Caenorhabditis elegans: one gene and its partner. The protein of the gene in region 1 purifies or fractionates together with the protein of each later gene. This does not show direct contact. Each region holds a gene or a part of one and is shown in the gene's direction. Other genes may lie near its edges. The genes, in order: pfas-1 and tiar-2.

Region 1 (9,528 bases):
CATTCTTTAACAAAGTTCCAGAAATGCAACAGAAAGGATGTCTCATTGTGAGAGTTGATGTTATCAGTCCTCACATGAACATAATTGACGTCTCATTTCCGGTTATGACGAGCAATTTCGTAACTCTCGATTTCCAAAACTTTCGATTTTTCCCAAATATTTAGTGATTCATATAACAATAACCATTCTTATTTTCATAATTCTTTGTTTGTGTCCCGCTTCTTTTTATTATTCTTTAGCAGTTATTTGTTCAGGATTTCTCATGTCTTTCGTATAAATTATATTCTTCACAGTTTTGGATTCTAAAATGAAAGTGTCTGGTAATACTTTAGTTCTTTCGATTTATTCTCGTTTTATTCTTTTGATCACGTTAAGCTATGCTGTAAGTTTTCTTTTTTAAAGATATTCTGTATGAAGCGGGATAGAATTGTTTTGAATTTTTTAAAATATTTTTGAATTTTTTCTCATTTATCAACGCGACTCCTATAAAAGTTCACTAAATTAAAAAAGTCTTATTTGTTCAGTGTCCTCCAAGTCTTGATAGTTTGAATCTTCCACCACCAGTAATTCATAGAGAATGCCTAACAAGAAACAGCTGCCAAAATGGATATATCTGCCGATTGAATAGATGTGTTGGTGGAAGAGCATTGGCAAGTAAAACTAAATATGTGAATGAAGAGGTAGGTTCTTTTCTAGTTTTATTGAAACTATGAGAAAATTCTGTTTTGAAATATGTATTTAAAATATTTTTCGGAATTTACGGAGTTTTGTTGTTTCTCTATTGTTTAACTTTGGCAATAATCTGCTTTTGAATAATTTCAAAAAATCCAACTTCTTCAAGATTTTTTCTTCAAAAATATTCAAAAAAAAATCTCATGAAAATTAAATAATCCCACTTCAAAATTCAGGAATCCGAGTACTCGTTAAAAATGGAACAATGTTGTGTGGATAATTTACTTCCGGAGAGATGCATGGGATTCTGCTCATTTGAGACTTATAATGAATCTTCCATCTTTCGACTGCTCGCGGAGCCCAGAAGATGTCCAAGTTCATCACTTAGAACTATTCATTTTTGTGCATCTATGAATATGGATCACACAGAATGCTGTGAACAGGCACGTTCGAAAATGTATTTATTTCAATAGAAAAGTTGATTCAAGAAACTCGCACAAATTTATCTCGATAATTCAAGATAAAATTTTTGAAGGTTTTCTGTACAGCTGTAAAGTTATCTGAAACTGCAAAGTTCTTTAATAATTTGTCGGAAACATTGTTGAAATTTCCTTTTCACAGTTGCCAATTTTGTTTGCCAAAATTTGGATATTTAGAAAATTAATTTAACAATTATTCAGCAAATTAACAATTGTTGACTAACATATTCAATTTATTTAAAAACTTTAGTTTTTTCCGTATAGCAAAGTAATAGTACAGCATATCCAATAAATCGGTTTTATTCATCAAATTTTAAATTTTTTGCAGAGTCGTATACCATCAAATTGTGTGGATCTATGTGCTCCTTCTGATTCGGAAGTTCGATTTGATGAATCAAAACTTCATTGTCTTCACTATCTTCCAATAATGAAAGAATGTTTTCAATCAAATTAAAATTAATAAATAATCCCTATTTCCTTGTTTCTTAACCACTTAATGCTCATTGAACCTATTAAACACTGTCGACTCCGGCATCCTGTCAAATCGAAACACAAACAAACACATTCGCATTGATCTACCGGAAGAGATCCGGGCGATTTGTTGGCATGGCTATATAATGTGTGCAATTCAAACATTCAATTCAATATCACATTTTGATATGAACATAAAGTATTTCACTTTTCTTGTTGCTTCCGTACTTTGCGAGTTCAACCTTACAGAGACGTTGGCTAAAAATGGTAGGTTTACCGGTTTTGTCTTTGGTTTTTAATCTTTTGCATTTTTAAAAAAAATTTTTAACAGTATCATAAAATAACTGCAATATTCTCAAATATTTTCTTTAACATTTTGTTGAGAAACTTGCCAACTTTGAATAATCGTTTCGGTTTTTGAAACGAAACATCATTTTCCAATTATGCAATTTTTAAACTGTTCCCTCCGAATTTTTTTAAATTCAGCTCATAACATCTTAGGTCCCACCACAAAAGATGACAAGTTACTGTAAATATCTCAGAAAAAAAAAAATTAAAATTCGCACAAATGAATCAGCCTACAATGAATCTATACATTTTCCAGAAAGTTCACCTCTTGTGGATCTTTCGAAAGTTGCCCGCGACCAAGGAGCAATTGTAGTCGCCGCATTTCCAGCAGTATCTACAATTAAAGCAAAAAGTAAGAAAAAATTTGGACTGGGAGCTTTTGAAAGGGGATATACAAACACTGGTGCGACTTTTTCAAGAAGAGGCAGAAGTGGAGCTTCAACTGGAAATCCTTATGCATCGTGAGTTTAACTTTTTTGAAGGAAAACGTTTGCAATATATAAACTTGTTCCAGTGGATATCAAGGGCTCCCTGAATCACAAAGCAGTCTGCCAGGAGATCGTGTAGGTGGAATGACCAGAACTGGAAAGAGAACTTTTGGAAGTTATGGTAAGAAATATATTATTTTAAAATCAAACATTCATACTTATTCCAGGAAGCGTCGACACTGCAAAAGGTCAATCCTCGGCTCATAGAGCAGGAACCGGTTCAGGATGGAGAGGATCTTCTCGGAATGACGGAGAGAATGACGATTGGAATAATGGAGATCAGAACAATAATAACAATTTCAACTCTAAAAACAATCGAATGAACAAATATGGAAATAGAAACGATGGAGATGATTATAATGGAAATGGGAATAATCAAGACAATTGGAATTCGGGATCAAATTCTGGAGGGTACAATGGTGGTGGTGGAGGATCTGGAGGAGGATCTAATTGGAATAATGGTGAATTTTCAATTTTTCCGATACATTATATTTCATGAGCAAGCTTAGACATCTTATGATAATGCTCGAAACACGGAAAATATATCTTTCTTTTCAAGTCGCCTAATGTAAGCCTATCTTTCTAAGCTAGAAAACACTTCTAATTTTCTAATAGACCGCCTGTTTTTCTTTATACAGTTTTCTTGTTCATGGGTTTAAGAATCTACTGACGCTATTTTAGAAAAATTTCAATTCTGTAATTTGTTTCAGGAGACAACGAAAATGACGGCTGGAATAATAACAACAACAATCGAAAGAGCAACAACAATAATAATAATAACTATGGTAATTCATGGGGTACAAATGACAACGATGGAAATTCTTGGAAAGGATCTGGAAACAGCAATGGAAACTCTGATAATTGGGGTGGATCCTCGGGAAGTGGTTCAAATGGAGGAAATGATGGAGATTCTAATTATGGAAATGAAGGATCATGGAAGCCAAGTGGAAATAGTTATGGAAGAAATCGAGGTGGAGGAAATGAAGGTGGTGATCAATGGGGAAGTAACAATAATGGAGGAGATAATTATGGATCTGAGTTGAGCAACAATTGGGGTGGATCTAATGGTGGATCAGGATCAAATGGAGGTTCTGGAGGAGGAAATACTGATAATGATAACTGGGGAAGCAATAATGGCAATTCTGGAGGATCATGGGGAAATGGTGGAACTGGAGGATCTGGAGGCTCTGGAGGTGGAAACTGGGGAGACAATGATAACTATGGCAGTAGCAACAAATGGAATGGAAATGGAAATCAGGATAATGACAATGATAACTTTGGAGGAGGATACAGTAAGAATGGATACGGTAGCAATAACAATAGAAACGACGGATGGGGATCTTCTAGTAGCAATAATAACAATAATAATAATAATAATAATAATGGAGGAACTGGAGGATACAGTAACAACGGAGGAGGATGGGGTAGCAATAATAATAATAATGGAAATGATGGAAACAATTGGGAATCCAATAATGGAGGAAATGGCGGTGGTGGTGATAACTGGAATAATGGAAACAGTGGCAACAATGGAAATAATAATGGTAATGGAGATGAAGATTATGGAGATTGGTACAATATGAAGATGAAAGATCCATCTGTAGCTGAAGATTCAACGACTAAAACACCTGAAGTTGAGAAGAAGATTGCCGAGTTATTGAGTATGGATACATATCGGAAGATGTAAAGATTTCCTGGGTTTCTGTTGTTTTAACTTATATTATTGATTAACTTATTGCAATAAATTCATATTATTATTCATATTCATATATTCATACTATTATTGTTACATCTAAAACATAACTTCTCTTTACAACACTGTTGGGAATTCATTGCATACATTCTTTTATTTTTTATAACTTTTCATATACATATGTACAACAGAAAATGCGGAAAAGTGTTGAAAAATAGACTCAAACAAATTTTTACAGAAAAAATAATTCTCTTGAAAATCAAAAAATTTAACAAAGTTCTTTAACTGTTAGGTATTAAAATATGTACTGCAGTTTTAAGACATCCCCCCATTGGCATTCTTTTGTCTTCTTTTGTTTTTTTTTCATGATTTCCAGATAGTAAATGCCCAAGAAACATCCAAAAACTAAATACTTTGTTCTTGAAAATTTTGCAACATTAGAATACTATCAGGCAAACATTTTTTCTTATCACTACTGAAAAATATCAATTACCTGTCTATTCTCAACCTTGTTATGCTTCACAATGTCAACGACACCACTGAAAAACACATAAAAACAGTAAATTGCAATTCTTATCAGCTCTTTGAATTGATTTTTGAAAACATTTGTAGATTCTCATTCTCTGTTCGGTTTTCATTCTTAATTTTTCTATAATACATATCTGTCTGAAAACCAAATCAGTTTTCAGGAACTAAAACATTTGGTAAGCATGACTAAGTTTCATGTTAAGCTTTACGCGAAAGCGGTTGAGTCAAGAAAATTGGATCAGATTCAAAAAGATTTTGAGAAGAAGTTCAATCGAAAAATTGATGTTTCTGTCGAGTATTGCTACCATGTTATTACTCAAGAGGTAAGGAAAATATCTTGTTCTATATTTAAAAATGTTTGTCGTGTCGAGACCGGGTACCATAGTTTTGTGGCATAAATTGTACAATTTTTAACGATTTTTTAAATATCGAAGATTGAAAAATAGCCGTTCTGATCTTTTGAACTCAAACACGTGAATTTTAACACGAACTTTACTGCCGCATATGCGACGTAACATCTTTCCGTGGGAGCCAGAATACGTAAATTTCCGAAAACGATTTCAGCCGGAGCTCATTTCCTCCAACTGGGAAAAGCTTGTTACTTTATTATCTCATTCTCCATTTGAAACCTCTGTTTGGAAAGAATCGCAACTACATCCGGAACACGGAAAAAATATTGAAATCGGCCCTCGAACAGCTGTGAAAACAGCTGCTTGCACAAACATCCTTAGCATTTTCGAAAGTTCTGGTATCAAGAATGTGGAGAGAATTGAACGAGGAATTCGGTATTTGGTGGAAGATGATGTGGATGTTAATGAGTTTTTTGAAATTGCTGCGGACAAAATGACAGGTGAATTATTGAGAACTCTACAAAAAATTGAAGATTAATATTCAGAAGCAATTTATGGAAATGATGTGAAGTTTGACGATGAGAGTCATCAGATAGAAAAAGTATTTCTGATTGATGTCTTGGAATCAAAACAGAACTTGATTAAGGTAGTTTTAAAGTGAATGAATTGTGTTAAAGTTGAAAGTTTCAGGCAAATGAAGAACTGGGGTTGGCTTTGGATCAATTGGATCTTGATTTTTATTACGATTTTTTTGTGAACAAAGTCAAAAAGTAAGGAGGCTTGTGAACTAGTACTCGATTTTCAAAAGGACTCTGAACTGACACTTTAATATTTCTGGAAAAATTTGAAATATGAGTTCTAATGTTTCAGAAACCCCACAGACGTTGAACTTTTTGATTTGGCTCAATCGGACTCTGAGCATTCTCGTCATTGGTTCTTCCGTGGAGAAATATGGATTGATGATCGGAAGAGAGATGGATCTTTAATGAAAACAATCAGAGAGACACTTGACAGTTCAAATGATAATAGTTTGATTGCTTTTTGCGATAATTCCAGGTATTTTTATTTTTCTTGAAAAGTTCAAGCTTGCGTGAGCAAGACATGGGCGAGTAGCGGGTGTCAGAAGGCATCTAGCGATGATCTGTCATATTTCTAGATGTTATAGTTGAAAACTTTTTGATTATCTCAGGAAAAAAATATATAAACTTTCACATTGTGGGTGAAAATGCTGGAGAATTTTCGAATTTTAAAAATTTAATTTCAGCGCAATTCGAGGATTCGAGAGTGTCTGCCGTCTTCGTCCAAACGATCCAACTACTGTATCCCCAATGATTGCCATATTTCCACCATCCCATCTCATCTACTCTGCTGAAACTCACAATTTCCCAACTGCAGTTTGTCCATTCCAGGGTGCAACAACTGGAACTGGCGGTAGAATTAGAGATATTCATGCAACTGGAAGAGGGGCATATGAGATTGCTGGTTTGTTTTTCCTTGTCCTGATAAAATTATATACTTCAGGAAATTTCAGGAACCGTTGGGTATTCCTTTGGGAATTTGAATTTACCGGGGCTTCCGTTGCCCTGGGAAGATGAGACATTCGAGTATCCCACATCGATCAGTGAACCAGCGAAGGTATTTTAAAATATATTACTAAAAATTCTGAAATTTGTTCAGATAGCCATAGAGGCTTCCAATGGAGCATCAGATTATGGTAACAAGTTCGGTGAGCCCGTGATTTCTGGATTTGCTCGATCATTTGGGCAGAGACTAGAGAACGGAGAAAGATGTGAATACTTGAAGCCAATTATGTTTTCTGGAGGAATTGGTGCAATAGGTAATAATTGTATTCATATAATATTTTTAAAACAATTCATAATTATTCAGACAAAGATGAAGTACGAAAAGAGCCATGTGCTCCTCATCAAAAAGTCGTCAAAATCGGCGGCCCCGTATACAGAATTGGAGTCGGTGGTGGAGCTGCAAGTTCAGTTTCTGTTCAAGGAAATCGTGAAAATCAGTTGGACTTTGCTGCCGTGCAACGTGGAGATGCTGAAATGGGTGGTAAACTTCATCGAGTTGTTAGAGCATGTGCAGAGAGAATTGGTGGAAATCCATTGATGGCGATACATGATCAAGGAGCTGGTGGAAACGGTTAGTTATCAATATAAGATTATAACACAAAATGTAAACAGCGATGAGAAGCTTGATTCGCATTTTAGGTTGGTTTCCTAATTGTAAAATGAATTGAAAACATTTTCAATCTTATGAACATGAAAAGATAACTCACTTTGCGGAAACTGTTCAAATATAGAAGATATTCTATATTTTCAAACTTCAAAATGGCTTTGTAAGACATGGTAAATCGGGCAATAAATATTTGCTTTCACTATTTTTACGAAATTACCGATATCATATTTAAATGTCTAAAAGAACACTTTTCATTCAATAATTACAATTTAAAACGAAACACATTAAATATCAATCAATTGTGAGAATCGGAGCTTCTCTCCCGCAAATGTAAGTAAACCGCCATTGACAAAAATGATCATTCAATTTCCTTGTTCCATTACCATTCCACCACTTCGTTTTCCCACTCATCATAACTAGGCATTCTTCATCCACAAGAGCATGATTTGGTTCATACGGAGAAGGCCAATAAGCATCCAGAAAATTTGGTGGATTCTCAGCAACATCGTGAAGCCATTCAAAGACTCGACGACGAGAACATTCACTTTCTTTATCCGAAGAGAACCCTCCACGACCCACAATTGATAAATCATTACAACGCTTTCGTCTTCTTGCACCCAGCAATACTTCAATATAATCGGTATTTGGAAGTTGTTCACTCTTAGCAATCATATCTGTAAAAGAGAGATTGTTGTACTTGAAGTTTAAATATCGATTCAAAAGTTTTTTTCTTACTGCAACCATGTCTCTTCCACACCACTACATTTACGCAGTAAAAGCCCAAGCTGTGCTCTATATATAGAAATGTTACCGCACCTACCATTTAGGAATTGAAATTCTTCATCGGACGTAAAAGAAGACAAATGAGCACCCAATTGTTGACATTTTTGTTCAGCGTTATCGTAATTCGCGGTATCATCCCATACATATTTGTGACACCAGGTTTTTCCTTCATTCTTCCGATAGTATTCCACAAATCCATCCGGACATTTTGTATAAGATAACCCCTTCACAATTTGTTCACAATAAATTGGAGCATATCGAGCATCAGACATAACTTCGAGGCCTTCGTTTTCACGTCGGCTGAAAATGTTTATGATAAAGTTAATTGTCTTTAAATTATGTAACCTCAAAACCACCGCAGAGCTCCATGTTGCTGCATCGCAAGACTCATTTGGTTCACCCTTTCGCCATATTGCATTATCGAGAGGAAAAGGTACAGCTTCGCCTTTCTGTAAAGAGATCTTCAAAAACATTTCACCTTCCATAAGCTCACATTTCCAGTCAAATAAATACGATGGTGGGGTTTTGCTTGAACGGAGCACTTTTATTTATTCCTCTCATTTGCGTTGGCATGTGCTGAAACTGATGATGTTCGAATGATACCAACATCCTGCTGTTCGAAAAGCTCTTTCACCAGCCCCTGAGTGGGAGATGCTGATTGAGCCCGTCCACCGCGAAAAACTGGTTTCATGACCTCTGTGCAATACTTGTGATCTGCCAATTTATCTTCCTCATTTCTGATTCGACTGCTCGTTGTTCTAATGTACACAGCTTCTGATGTGACAAGAGGTGGATAATAGATCTCCCCATATCTTCTGAGCAAGTAGTTGCTCTCTGATTTTGTCATTGGTGGAGTGTATTCACATAGAACCATTGCAGTTTCATCCTTAGACACACGAGCAATTGCAACATTTGGAAGATTGTATTTGTATCCATCGAATGCCAGAAGTACATTACCACCTTCAACGTCATAGATCAAATCATTAGTGACAACTTCACTTGCATCCATCCAGATACGAGAAACACGAGTGAAGTAATCTGAAATTACTCTGATAAGCTTTGCTTTGAATAGTTGAAAACAAACCATTCCATCTAAAAGGCAATGCTTCTCTGTGCATGAATGCAATTGTCGATGTCTGATCCTGTTGATTCTTGCAATGTTTTTCAGCCTTGTCACGTGTCATCATCGTCTTGGTGATCTTGTAGCACCTTCCGAACATCTGAACCCATCCACTTTTACAAATTAATGTTGCTTCTGCTTCACAGGTTGTTTTGTATTCCGATGCTTCTGCATTATTGATATGATAGGGAACATTGTCTTCACAGTACTGCTGAGCGGATTTCTGAAAGGAATAAGTACATTTATACAGCATTTAGACCCAAAAAAAACCTGATTATCGGAGGCTTTTGGAAAATTGAACGTACACTTGTCACCTTCTAACGACTGAAAAATTATAATTTTATTTTGAGTTCAATTTACACATTTTAAAACTTTTTTTGGATGTCTAACCATTGTTGTGGTTTTT
Region 2 (12,332 bases), on another chromosome or scaffold:
ATCCCGACAGTACCCCTAGAGTATCACTGCAGTACTCGAAAGCCACAGTAATCCTACAATATCACTACAGTAATCTGAAGCCACAGTTATCCTACAGTACCCCTTACAGTACCCCTACTTCATTAGTACCCCATACAGTACCCCTACAGTACCCCTACAGTACCCCTACAGTATCCCTACAGTTCCCTTACAGTACCCCTACAGTCTCACTACAGTACTATACAGCCACAGTAATCCTACAGTACCCATTACAGCACCACTTCCAAAATATATTCAGTTCCAGATCCCTCGGCAAAACCACCTCTACAGTGAGCACAGAGCGTCCAATTCCGATCCACGTAGTGGAGGAGACGTCATCAATCGATATGGATGTCGTTTTTCCAAAAATGCCACATCATCAAACCGTGACAAACGTCAGAGTTCCTTCGAGCAGAGGATCAGCAATATCCAGAGCTCACAGTGAGCATCGCAGGTCGATTGACAGGAGGTAAAAAGTGATATGTAGCACATTTTTAATCATAATTTTTTTTGCAGCGAACCACGTCACCACCATCGTCATCATGTTCATTCCGAGACCCCTGAACTTCCATATACTAGGTGACAAAATATCTGGGCACACATTTGTATAGAAAGACTTTTCAGAGGGATCTCCAAGACTCCGAGTGTTCGAGAATACAATGTGAAGCGGGAAGGTCAGAGATCGCCAAGCAGGTCTCATAGATCTGAAAGGTACGGTCGATCCGTTCTTAGCTTCGGTTTCTGCTTAGGCGTAGGCCTCGGTTTAGGCTTAGGCTTAGGATAAGGCTCAGGCTTAGTCTCAGGCTTAGTCTTAGGCTTTGGCATAGGCTTGGGCTTGGGCTTAGGATGAGGCTTAGGTTTTGGTTTTGGCTTAGGCTTAGGCTTAGGCTTCGGTTTAAGCTTAGATTTAGGCTCTGGCTCAGGCTTAACATAAACTTTCGATTAGTATACTTTTTGTTGATGCCATCCACCAAGTATTTACGGGGTTCCCTAGTTAGAGTTAGGCTCACGCTTAGGCACAGGCTTAGGATTAGGCCTAGGCGAGCTACTAGTTCATACAATTTCTCGGTTTTTTTTTGCAGAAGCCCATCAGAGGTCCGTATCCCGGTGACAACTACACATACTCGGTAGGCTTTGAGAAATTTCTAAAAATTAAAAAAAAAATTTTCAGCCCGATTGCAAAACGCCAAAGCCCGGAGGAGCTGGATTATGGAAGGTGATTGAAACTGCCGAGCTCAGTTGCTGATAAAATTATCGAAAATTCCAGATTCGCGGATAAAAGTCAGCAGAACCGATTTCCGGGGGATCATCAGGCTAGGGAGGAGGACTTACCGTATACCAGGTAATTTTTTTTTAACTCGGGGAGCTTTCGGCAAACCTCGATAATTTTTCAGGGGAATTTCCAAGACTCCTAGCAATCAGGATTCCAGGTCGGAGAGGTAGGGTAGATTTCCAAAAATTTAAAAAAAAAACCAAATTTTTCTAGAACTCCGTGCTCGGATATTCACATTCCTTACAATAACCCTGAAAAAGAGAGGTACAGTAGCAAAACCTACCGTAACCCTACAGTAATCCAAATTTCAGAGCCTATCAGCAATCCGAGCGGTCGTCTTATAGATCCCACAAATCGGTGACCCCATCAGAAAAGTCGTAAGTTTTTTTTTATACAGTAGTCCTATAGTAGTAAATCCAGGTTACCCCGCAATTCGGAGACCCCCGAGCTACATTACACCCGAGGAATCTCAAAAACGCCAAGCGACAGGGTGGAGAAGTCAAGGTACCTATCACGTGGTGTCAGTACCCCACATACCCCATCTGAAGTGCACATTCCATACAATAATCCAGAGAAAGAACGGTAAATTATACCTGAAAATTGAAGTTTTATCGATTTTTTTGCAGAGCCTACCAACAATCGCACCGCCCGTCTTCGCCAAAGAGACGCCCGTCTGGAAGGTGAGAAAATCGATATTTTTCGATGAATTAATCGATAATTTCAAAGAAAAATCGATATTTTCTAAAATTTTTCTGATTCCGGCCACGGGGTTCTGGCCTTCCTCATTGAATTTTTCGCGCTCTATTGACAATCATTTAGTTTTAAAACTAAAATCGAGCCGCGACGCAACACGCAACGCGCCGTAAATCTACCCCAGATATGCCCCAGCCAAATTGGCCTAGTTCGGAAAACTCTTCCATTTCAATTTATGAGGGAAGCTAGAAATCCCATTAATTCCGGAGAAAAATTCTTCCGAAAAATCGATAATTTTCCCATTTTCAGAACAAATTCCCCCAACAAGTCCAGCAGCAGCTCCAAGGTACAGTAACCACCCCCCCCTCAAACTATCGATTTTCCAACAAAATTTGTTTTCCAGGCGAGACCATCGGCGGCTCCACTCGAAGAAATAGTGCATATCAAGGAGAGATACGAGAGAGACGAGACGATTCGCCGATTCTTCCCAACTACGACTGCAGTGTAGACTATCTTAAAATTATTTTTCTCGAATTAAAAAAAAATTGATTCCCATGCTGTGCTTTCTCGACAATAAATTGCTTGCCATACATTTTTTTTGTGGATTTTTCGGCGAAAAATTGAGGAAAAAATCGAATAAATACACATAAATTTACAAGAAATGAAAAATCAGAAACAGAATCATTCTCTTCTAAGCTGATCAAGACGGGCCTGAAGATCATCGTCAACATCATTTCCACCACCGGCTCCACCGGCTCCATGATGAGCTCCACCGCTACCTCCAGCTGCAACAGCTTGGCGACCGCCGATCCGTTCTCCACCAGCATTGAGTCCACCGGCCGCCGACGGGAGCCCGGCCATTTCTTCGCCCATTTGTATGCCTAACTCGTCGAGAACCTGAGAAAAAAAAACATTTATATGATGAGTTTTTTAAGCCAAAATTCGCGTTTTTCTCGCTTTTTTACCTGATTAACGATCTGATCGGTCTCCTCCTCATCGCCGGCGTCTCCAAGAGCATCATCGATCGCGTCGCCCATCACCTCCTCCTTCATATCCATGATTTCGCTCTGTTTCTCGAATTCCATCATAATTTTCTGGATTTGTGGAAGATTCAGCTGCCGATTCATCGATTGCATCGCTTTTGTCACTCCTTTCATCGCCGACGCCATCGCATCTTGCGATTTCAGGGTTTGAACTTTCAGGGAGACCGCCTGAAGAGATTTAGAGATTTTTGTTTTATTTTAATTCAATTTCCGTGATTTTACCTGAATATTTGCCTTCATAACGATAAATTTCTTGATATAACGACGAGTTCGCACCAGATCCTTGGCCATCACTTTTACAGAGTCCATTTGATTCTTCTTTGCCATATTCTTGATATCCGCGATAACCTTCTTCTCCTGAGCCTCCATACGAGCTCTCTCGCGGTCCAGCTCTCGGATGGCCTGAAAGTTTGAATTTTTCATGATTTTCAGTTCATTTTCTCAGTTTTTTCAATAATTTACCTTGTTCAGAGCCCTCTGATTCTGTCGAAGAAGCTCGGCTGGCGTCTTGCGGCGTCCGAACAGGAAATCCATCTGAAAAGTGGAATATTTCGTAACAGCCGATAAAATATTGATTTCTGGGTGAGAAATGAGAGAAAAATAGAGTTCCAGAGCGGGAAAATTTTCTAAAAGCACTAAATAACAATAAAAATCAAAATAATTCATTGAAAATTGATTAGAAATTGTTCTTAAAATGAGGAAATCAATGCAAATATAAGGGTATGCAAGTGCGCTCCACCGGACAACTGATGATTAATCATGATTCATCGATTTTAAGTGAATTTATATCGGAAATTGTGATAAGAAATTTCGCAATTTTTATTGAAAAATGATAGTAATGGCTAAAACTTTATTAAATAAATAAAAATAACTAAATTTAAGATTAAAAAGTTGAAAAGAAAGGGAAAAAATAGATTTTTAAAAAACAAGTTTTTTTGAAACATTGCAAGCGCGCTCTACGGCACAATTTGAATTTATTTATTTAATTTTTGGTTTTTATTTGTTTTTACCGGATTTTTATCGAGTTTTTCGCGTTTTTCAGCAAAGTTTTGTAAAAAATGGCCACTTCGTTCTACACGGGAGGTGGCGAAGACGGAGACGGCTTCAATCCCCGTGTGCACGCGAGAATCGCCGAACGAGAGGGTTTTCAGCTGGCTTCTGGCTCCGAGGACCCGAGAACTTTGTAGGATTTTTTTTTCGCAAGAAGATTAAAAAATATAATAAAAAACCCGCGATGCTTGCAGATTCGTTGCAAATCTGGATCCGGCGATAACCGACGAGTTTCTCGCGACGCTTTTCAATCAAATTGGCGCCGTTATGAAGGCAAAAATTATTTTTGAAGTGATTTTTCATCGAAATTCCGGGTCTTAAACAGATAAATATTGCAGGGACTCAACGATCCGTACGCTTTCGTGGAGTTTTCCGATCATAATCAGGCTACGCTGGCTTTACAGAGCCACAACGGGCGGGAGCTGCTGGAAAAAGTGAAATTTTTGGCTTAAAAATCCCGGGAAAATCCGGGAAAATCTGAAAATTAAACTAATTGCAACAGAATTTCAAAAAAATGTTTCAGGAAATGCACGTAACGTGGGCATTCGAGCCCCGCGAGCCGGGCGAAAACCGCTCAAAACCCGAAACTTCTCGACATTTTCACGTTTTCGTCGGCGATTTGTGCTCCGAAATTGATTCGACAAAGCTCCGTGAAGCTTTTGTTAAGTTCGGAGAAGTTTCTGAGGCGAAAATTATTCGCGGTAATTTTTTTTAATTTGAAAAAAAAATTGAAAATTCTGGAAAAATCAATATTTTTCGACTAATTTGATTATAGAAAATTACGGAAAAAACATTTTAAAAGAAAATTGGTTCGACAAATTGCCGGAATTGAAATTTCCGGCAAATCGGCATATTGCCGGAATTGAAAACTTCTGGAAAATCGGCAAATTGCTGGAATTCTAAATTTCCGGCAAACCGACAATTTGCCGGAATTGAAAACTTCTGGAAAATAGGCAAATCGGCAAGTTGCTGGAATTCAAAATTTCCGGCAAACCGGCAAATTGTCGGAATTGAAAACTTCTGGCAAATTGCCGGAATTGAAAATTTCCGGCAAATTGGCAAGTTGCTGGAATTCAAAATTTCGGCAAACCGGCAATTTTCCGGAATTGAAAATTTCCGGCAAATGCAAATTGCCGGAATTGAAAATTTCTGGCAAATCCAAAAATTGCCGGAAAATAGGAAAATTGCCGGAATTCAAAAATTTTGACAAATCGGCAAATTGTTGGAATTGAAATTGCCGGAAAATAGGAAAACTGACGGAATTAAAAATTTCCGGCAATTTGCCGATTTGCCGAATTTCTCCAAATTTTAATCTCAATTTTTGAATTTTTTTGAATTTCTCTCCTTTTTAAGGAAAAACGAAAAAAAAAGTGAAAACTGTACGACCAATCAGCGTCTTCGACTCCGCCCCCCCCCCCCCCCCCCCACTCAACCCGATTGGTTGGGAAGTGGGCGGAGCAAAACGCTAATTGGTGGGCCCTATTTTTTCGTTTTTTTTCCCTTAAAATGTCTAAATTTCAACCAATTTTTAAATATTTTTTTTTGCAGATAACAATACGAACAAGGGAAAAGGCTACGGATTCGTATCATACCCCCGTCGAGAAGATGCCGAAAGAGCTATAGATGAGATGAATGGAGCATGGCTTGGCCGACGGACTATTCGAACAAACTGGGCCACCCGGAAGCCTGATGAAGATGGTGAACGTGGTGGTGATCGTGGTGATAGAAGAGGTGGAGGTGGCGGTGGAAGAGATCGTTATCATAATCAATCGGAAAAGACTTATGATGAGATTTTTAATCAAGCTGCTGCTGATAATACATCGGTTTATGTCGGAAATATTGCCAATCTTGGGGGTTCGTTTTCAGAAATTTTCAAAAAAATTTTCAAAAAAAACTTAAAATTTGCGTATTTTTTTTGTTAAAAATTACAAAAAAAAATCAAAAAAATTTAGGTAAAATTGGCAATTTTTTTAGTCGAAAAATCGGCAAATTTCAATTCCGGCAATTTTTGGATTTGCCGGAAATTTTCAATTCCGGCAATTTTCCGGTTTGCCGGAAAATTTCAATTCCGGAAATTTGCCGATTTGCCGGAAATTTTCAATTGCGGCAATTTGCCGATTTGCCGGAAATTTTCAATTCCGGCAATTTTCCGGTTTGCCGGGAATTTTCAATTCCGGAAATTTGCCGATTTGCCGGAAAATTTCAATTCCGGAAATTTGCCGATTTGCCGCAAATTTTCAATTCCGGCAATTTGCCGATTTGCCGGAAATTTTCAATTCCGGCAATTTTCCGATTTGCCGAAAGTTTTCATTTTCGGCAATTTTCCGATTCGCCGGAAATTTTCTTTTTCGGCAAATTGCCGATTTGCCGAAAATTTCAAATCCGACAATTCGCCGGTTTGCCGATTTTCTGGAAAGTCTCAATTCCGGCAATTTGTTGATTTGCCGGAAATTTTCAATTCCGGCTATTTGCCGGTTTACCGATTTGCCGGAATTAAACATTTCCGGTAATTTGCCGATTTATCGGAAATTTTCAGATCCGGCATCATGCCGGTTTGCCGGTTTGTCGGATATTTTCGTTTTTGACAAATTGCCGATTTGCCAGAAATTTTTAATTCCGGAAATTTGCCGATTTGTCGGAAGAAATCGTTTACCCCGATTCATATTTACAAAAAAAACTTTCCTAAATCGGCAAATTGCGGAATTGAAAATTTGCGTCAAATCGAAAAAATTGCCGGAATTGAAAATTTCCGGCAAATCGAAAAATTGCCGGAATCTAGGTATTCTAGAAGATCGGCAAACCGGAAAATTGCCGGAATTGAAAATTTCCGGCAAACCGGAAATCGGAAAATTGCCGGAATTGAAATTTCCGGCAAACCGGCAAATTACCGGAACTGAAAAAAATTTCGGCAAACCGGCAATTTGCCGATTTGCCGAATTTGTCGACAAAAAATTTGCCGCACTTTTGCTGCTAGAATTTCCGTCGAAAAAATTCCCCAAAAATTCACCACAAATCCTCCAAATTAATTATTTTTTTTTTGCAGAAGACGAAATTCGCCGAGCTTTTGACCGTTTCGGACCAATCAACGAAGTACGAACATTCAAAATTCAGGGATACGCATTTGTGAAATTTGAGACTAAAGAATCAGCGGCACGGGCGATTGTACAGATGAATAATGCAGATATTGGAGGACAAATTGTTCGATGCAGTTGGGGAAAAAGTGGAGATGTTCGTGGTTTTTTCGGTGAAATGAAGAAAAAAATGCCCAAAAAATCACCCAAAATGGATTAAAAAAAAAAAAAAAAAATTTCTTCAAAAATCCCGTTAAATTTTAAATTAATTTAATTTAATTTAATTTAATTAAACTTTTATTTCAGAATTTTTTAGAATGAAAATTCCAAAAAATTCAAAAAAAAATTGGATTAAAAAAATCACAAATTTACTTAATTTTTCGAAAAAAAAAATTTAAAAATTTCGAGAAAAAGCTACACACTGGAATTTAAAAAATTAACTAATAATTATTTTTAAAAAAATAAAAAATTTCTAAAAAATTATACTGGTTTCAATTTTTTAAATCAAAAATATAGCTTAGGAATTTTAGGAATTTTTTTATTACTAAAAATTCTATTTTTGCAGCTTCTTTGTAGAGTTTTTTCTCTAAAAAATTCATTTTTTACTCGAAAATCGGGAAAATTTTGAATTTTCAAGAAAAAAATGCTAAAAATTATTTAGACATTGAAAAATTCATTAAAAATTTCTGTTTAAACCTGAATTTTCAATCCAAAAAAACCACAGATTTTGACAAAAAACAACTGAAATTTCCAGCTTTCCGTTTTGCCAGAAATTTCAATTCCGGTAATTTGCCAATTTGCCGAAAATTTCAATTCCGGCAATTTACCTACTTGCCCGAAATTTCAATTCCTGCAATTTTCCGGAAATTTCAATTCCGGTAATTTGCCAATTTTCCGGAAAGCTGGAAATTTCAGTTTTTTTGTTGAAAACCGAAAAATTCAGAAAAAACTGAAATAAACCAATTTTTTTGGCAAAAATTGCTTTTTTTTTTAAGAAAAAATATTCTTAAATTTTCCTTATAAAACCCTTTTTAAAATTTGAATTTTCAAAAAAATTTTCTATTTTTTCTCAAAAAGTCACCTAATTAATTTTATTTCAGTCTGGAAAGCCATCCGAGCGAGGATCCGGCGGTGGTGGCGGCAGTGGCAACTACGGTTACGGTTACGGTAACAGCGGTGGCGGCGGCGGCAGCGGAGGACCCGGAAATTCGCAATTTTCGAATTTTAATCAACGACCCCCACCATCTGGAAATGGTGGTTCTGGAGGCGGAAGTGGAGGCCAAAATAATCAATATTGGCAGTACTATTCGCAATACTACAATAATCCACATTTGATGCAACAATGGAATAATTATTGGCAAAAGGATGGACCACCACCACCACCAGCTGCAGCAGCTTCATCTACTGGAGGAAATTGAGAGCACATTTTGTGAAAAAATTATTTTTTTTTTGCTGTTTTTGGAAATTTGGAAATTTCCAATTTTCTTAATTTTTTTGTTGCTGTTTTTGGAAATTTTGTGAATTTTTTTTCTGAAAAATTGGAGAAAATTGAGCTCATTTTATGGAAAAAATTCTTTAAAAAATCAATTTTCTGAGATAATTCGTTTCTTATTTTGTTAATTAATTAAATTTCAGCAAGATCTTTTTCCAAAAAAAAAAAAACTTGTAAAATTCCAGTTTTTCTAGAAATTTGGAGGGAACTGAGCACATTTTGTGGAAAAATAATTCTTTAAAAAATCAAATTTCTTTATTTTTACTGTTTTTGGAAGTTTTGAAAAAAAAATTCCAAAAAAACATGGTAACATTCCAGTTTTTCTGGAAAAAAATTGGACAAAATTTAGCTGATTTTTTTTTTGAATTTTTCAAATAGTTATTTAATACAAAAATAATCATTTTCCTGTTTTTCCAGCAAAAATTGAGCACATTTTGTGGAAAAAAATTCAATAAAACTTTAAAAATCATTTTTTGAGTAACATTGAAATTTCCTATTTTCTTGATTTTTTCCTGTTTTGGAAATTCTGAGCATTTTTTTCCCAAAAAAAACTGGTAAAATTCCTGTTTTTCTGAAAAAAAATGCAGAAAATTGAGCGGATTTTTGGAATTTTTTAAATAGTTATTTAATACAAAAATAATTATTTTCCTGTATTTTTTTAAGAAAACAAAATTTAATTTTTCTTAATTCAACAATTTTTTTTTTTCAATTTTTTGAATTTTTCGGAAATTTAAAATTTTTTCCAAACATCTTTTGCTTCAGTTTAACTAAATATATTGCTGAGTTCTGTGAATTTGCAATTTATGTTTTGAAAATTCCGGAATTTTTTTGTTTTGTATTTGTCCTCTCCCCAAGAAAATTGCATTTTTTAACGAATTAGAAATCCATTTTTAATTATTTTTCACCCAATTTCCCCGTTTTTTTTGTATATTTTCATCTGCCTTAATTTATTGATTTTTTTTTCTTCCCCACCCCCCTGAATTCCACGCGTTTCTATTTTTTTTTTGCAACAGAAAAATTGTCTAATATAAAAATGTCCTATGTTATTTACTTCCTGTCATTTTTTTATTGTAAAAGTTATTATTTATGAAATAAATAAATGTTCATGGAGCCGGAAAATTTCAAAAAATCACAAAAAAAAAATTTGTTTGTTTGTTTATTCGAAATTAGATAAATAGTATTTCGAATTTAAGCTCCTTAACTTAAGCTCCCCCCACTTATTGGCACAAAATCTCAAAAAAAAATTTTTTTTTTCAATCTTCTCTGCAAATTTTCCGGAAAAAATTGGGAATTAAAATCCAAGACGTGAACCTTTTTTAAAAAATATAATGTGTTTTAATGTACAAGGGGCAACAGAAAAAAAAATCGATAAAAATTAGCCAAAAATTAGTTATTTCGAACAATCTAACCGACGGCGTTATAAACCATTTTTATCAAAGTGTGAGTTAATTTAAATATATATATATATATATGTGCTGGGTGGCCGCTAGAAAAAAAACATAGGTGGCCTAGTTTTATGCTTTCCTGCCGGCGGGCATTTACAGCGCGGCCTAGCGAAACAATCGATGGCCTAGTTTTCTCAATCGTTCAAAACTCGGGCCTGCGATTGACAGACTTTTTAGAGATTTTTCGATCGAAATCTTGAGAGAAAAAGATCCTAGTTTTCAATTTTCCGGACCTGTGCGGAAAAGTCGATCTGTGAAATAATGACAATTTCCAGGATACGCTCAAACACGTGACAATTTGAAAAAATGCTTATTGAACTCCTCATATCCATCACCGTGCTCGCGTCGATTCTCGTCTCGTGCAAGAAAGAGAAGAACGAAGCGGCAAAACTGAAGCCACGTGGCTTCGATCGAAAATCCAGTGGAGCACCGGCTCCGGCTGGAGCCAACTTGGTTAACAAGTCTGGCGGTTCCGGCGGAGGTAGTGGAGGATCTGGAGATGCTAATAGACTTCTCAAAAGAGAAATCAAAGGTGGGTTCCACATCAGCCATGTTAGGGTGCGGGCCTTCGATATTTTTCGCCGATGTGTCCACCAGGATGGCACTCGATTGCAATAGTCGAATTTTGTCTGCATTCGCTCACCTCGATTTTGTCGGCTGCTTAAAAATGTTTTTTTTTGCAGAAGTAAAGATGGAGGAGCGTTCGGCTGACGATAACGAGACAATCAACGATGTAAAGTCCAACTGGGGAACTGTTTGAAATTCATGTTTTTTCTTGTAAATTGAATGAACTGTAAAAATGCTTAGACATAATTGAAAAAAAATACTAGCTATATAACGTATTTTCATGATCTGATGGCTCCGTAATAGTTTTTGTGTGTCGCGGATCCACCGCGGTAGCTGTAGCAACCACGAGAGCGCTCGCACGTGGTCGCTGGCTGTCCTTTTGCATAATTTTGAAGCAAATGCGCCTCATTGAGAATTCACGTTGGCGCCAACTCTCGCTATCCATTGGGCGTGAGAGACGCAGATACTACTTTTTTCTCTGGACGTGAAAAACGCCAAGAAAAACCGTTTTGCCGTCTGCGTCTCTTCTTTCACACGCTATTTTGGCTGTGGACGAGGAATTCTCCTCTTCCAGGATTTTCTAGGCCATTTTCTCACATTTCTCAAGTTTTCTCGTCCGCGAGAAAACGTGAATTTCGAGACAGCCAGCGAGCACGTGCGCTCGTCTACTCGGTAAATCGGCGCCACTGCTCAACCAACTTGAGCCACTTCCATTTACAAATGTGGCAAAAGTTGGCGAAAGTTGGTTGGAAAGTGGCTGATATCTAATGGCAGTTAGAAAGTGGCCAAAGTTGGTTTAAAAGTGGCGCCGAATTGCCGAGATAGTTATTATTGATCTACCCGTTTGATCTACCCGCCACTTACTCATTCGTCTTCCTTTACTATTTCGCAATCACCTTTTGTCATCATTCTCATTCTCACGCATCCACATTCACTTTCATTCACTTCTTGCACAGAGCCTACTATATAGCCGAAAGGCTACGCTCTCTCGTCCCCATCAACCAATTCGCACTATTATTCGGATTGTTTAATCCAATATTATCACGTGGTGTCAGAGTGTCTCATTTCGGCTTGATCTGCGTAGATCTACAAAAAATGCGGGAGAAGAGACGCAGAGTTCTCAACTGATTTCGCAGGGTTAAGAGCGTGCTGACGTTACAATTTTTCTGAGAAAAAAATCCCGCATTTTTTGTAGATCAAACTGTGTTAGGACTGCCGGACACCCCATGTGTCATTTCTTGTAAAAGTTCTAAAATTAAAAAAAAAAGTTCACGGAACCTGATTTTGGCGTAAAAGAAATAATGTTTTTTGGTTCAAAAAACGTGAAAATTTATGTTGGGAAAAAAGAAACAAGTCAATTATTTTGAAATTGAACGAAGTTCGAATTCCGTCATTTTGTCAGGTTGTAAGTTTTTTTTTCTGTAAATGTTGAATTTTTCGAATTCGTTAAACTTAAGCTCCGCCCAATTATTGGCAAAAATGTTTAAAAAAAACAATTTTTTTCCCAATTTTCCCTAGAACTTTTCCGAAAAAAATTGGAAATTAAAATCCAAAACGTAAATTTAAAAAAATATATAATTTGTTTTAATATTCACGTCGCAGCAAAAGAAATATTGATAAAAATTAGTCTTATCTGCATTTTCCTCTCTTAAATCGCGTGTGTGCCACGGGTAGGTGTTT

What was found.
Region 2: the proteins of pfas-1 (region 1) and tiar-2 fractionate together in Caenorhabditis elegans (co-fractionation; one large-scale study listed by BioGRID). This does not show direct contact.

Annotation. Positions count from the first base shown.
Region 1 is NC_003281.10:4,638,616-4,648,143, reverse strand, and holds the start of pfas-1 (putative phosphoribosylformylglycinamidine synthase), read left to right. Parts: upstream 1-4,833; 5' UTR 4,834-4,861; coding exon 4,862-5,002; intron 5,003-5,243; coding exon 5,244-5,529; intron 5,530-5,574; coding exon 5,575-5,675; intron 5,676-5,719; coding exon 5,720-5,799; intron 5,800-5,899; coding exon 5,900-6,085; intron 6,086-6,293; coding exon 6,294-6,511; intron 6,512-6,560; coding exon 6,561-6,664; intron 6,665-6,706; coding exon 6,707-6,866; intron 6,867-6,916; coding exon 6,917-7,183; intron 7,184-7,581; coding exon of another isoform or gene 7,582-7,893; intron 7,894-8,039; coding exon of another isoform or gene 8,040-8,302; intron 8,303-8,347; coding exon of another isoform or gene 8,348-8,451; intron 8,452-8,495; coding exon of another isoform or gene 8,496-9,040; intron 9,041-9,086; coding exon of another isoform or gene 9,087-9,345; intron 9,346-9,392; coding exon of another isoform or gene 9,393-9,446; intron 9,447-9,528. Other genes in the region: dbd-10 (DB domain-containing protein), read left to right, coding at 308-382, 525-680, 909-1,115, 1,480-1,605; pqn-29 (Prion-like-(Q/N-rich)-domain-bearing protein), read left to right, coding at 1,811-1,889, 2,227-2,431, 2,485-2,579, 2,626-2,919, 3,169-4,145. UniProt on the Caenorhabditis elegans protein: Phosphoribosylformylglycinamidine synthase involved in the purines biosynthetic pathway. Catalyzes the ATP-dependent conversion of formylglycinamide ribonucleotide (FGAR) and glutamine to yield formylglycinamidine ribonucleotide (FGAM) and glutamate.
Region 2 is NC_003280.10:12,764,657-12,776,988, forward strand, and holds tiar-2 (RRM domain-containing protein), read left to right. Parts: upstream 1-4,029; 5' UTR 4,030-4,085; coding exon 4,086-4,210; intron 4,211-4,271; coding exon 4,272-4,368; intron 4,369-4,415; coding exon 4,416-4,511; intron 4,512-4,600; coding exon 4,601-4,778; intron 4,779-5,625; coding exon 5,626-5,931; intron 5,932-7,120; coding exon 7,121-7,305; intron 7,306-8,248; coding exon 8,249-8,566; 3' UTR 8,567-9,758; downstream 9,759-12,332. Other genes in the region: cnp-2 (Calcineurin-interacting protein 2), read left to right, coding at 284-487, 535-597, 643-729, 1,101-1,145, 1,190-1,234, 1,286-1,360, 1,413-1,457, 1,505-1,555 and 5 more; vps-2 (Charged multivesicular body protein 2a), read right to left, coding at 2,666-2,881, 2,950-3,195, 3,250-3,429, 3,490-3,561; Y46G5A.14 (uncharacterized protein), read left to right, coding at 10,392-10,617, 10,769-10,845.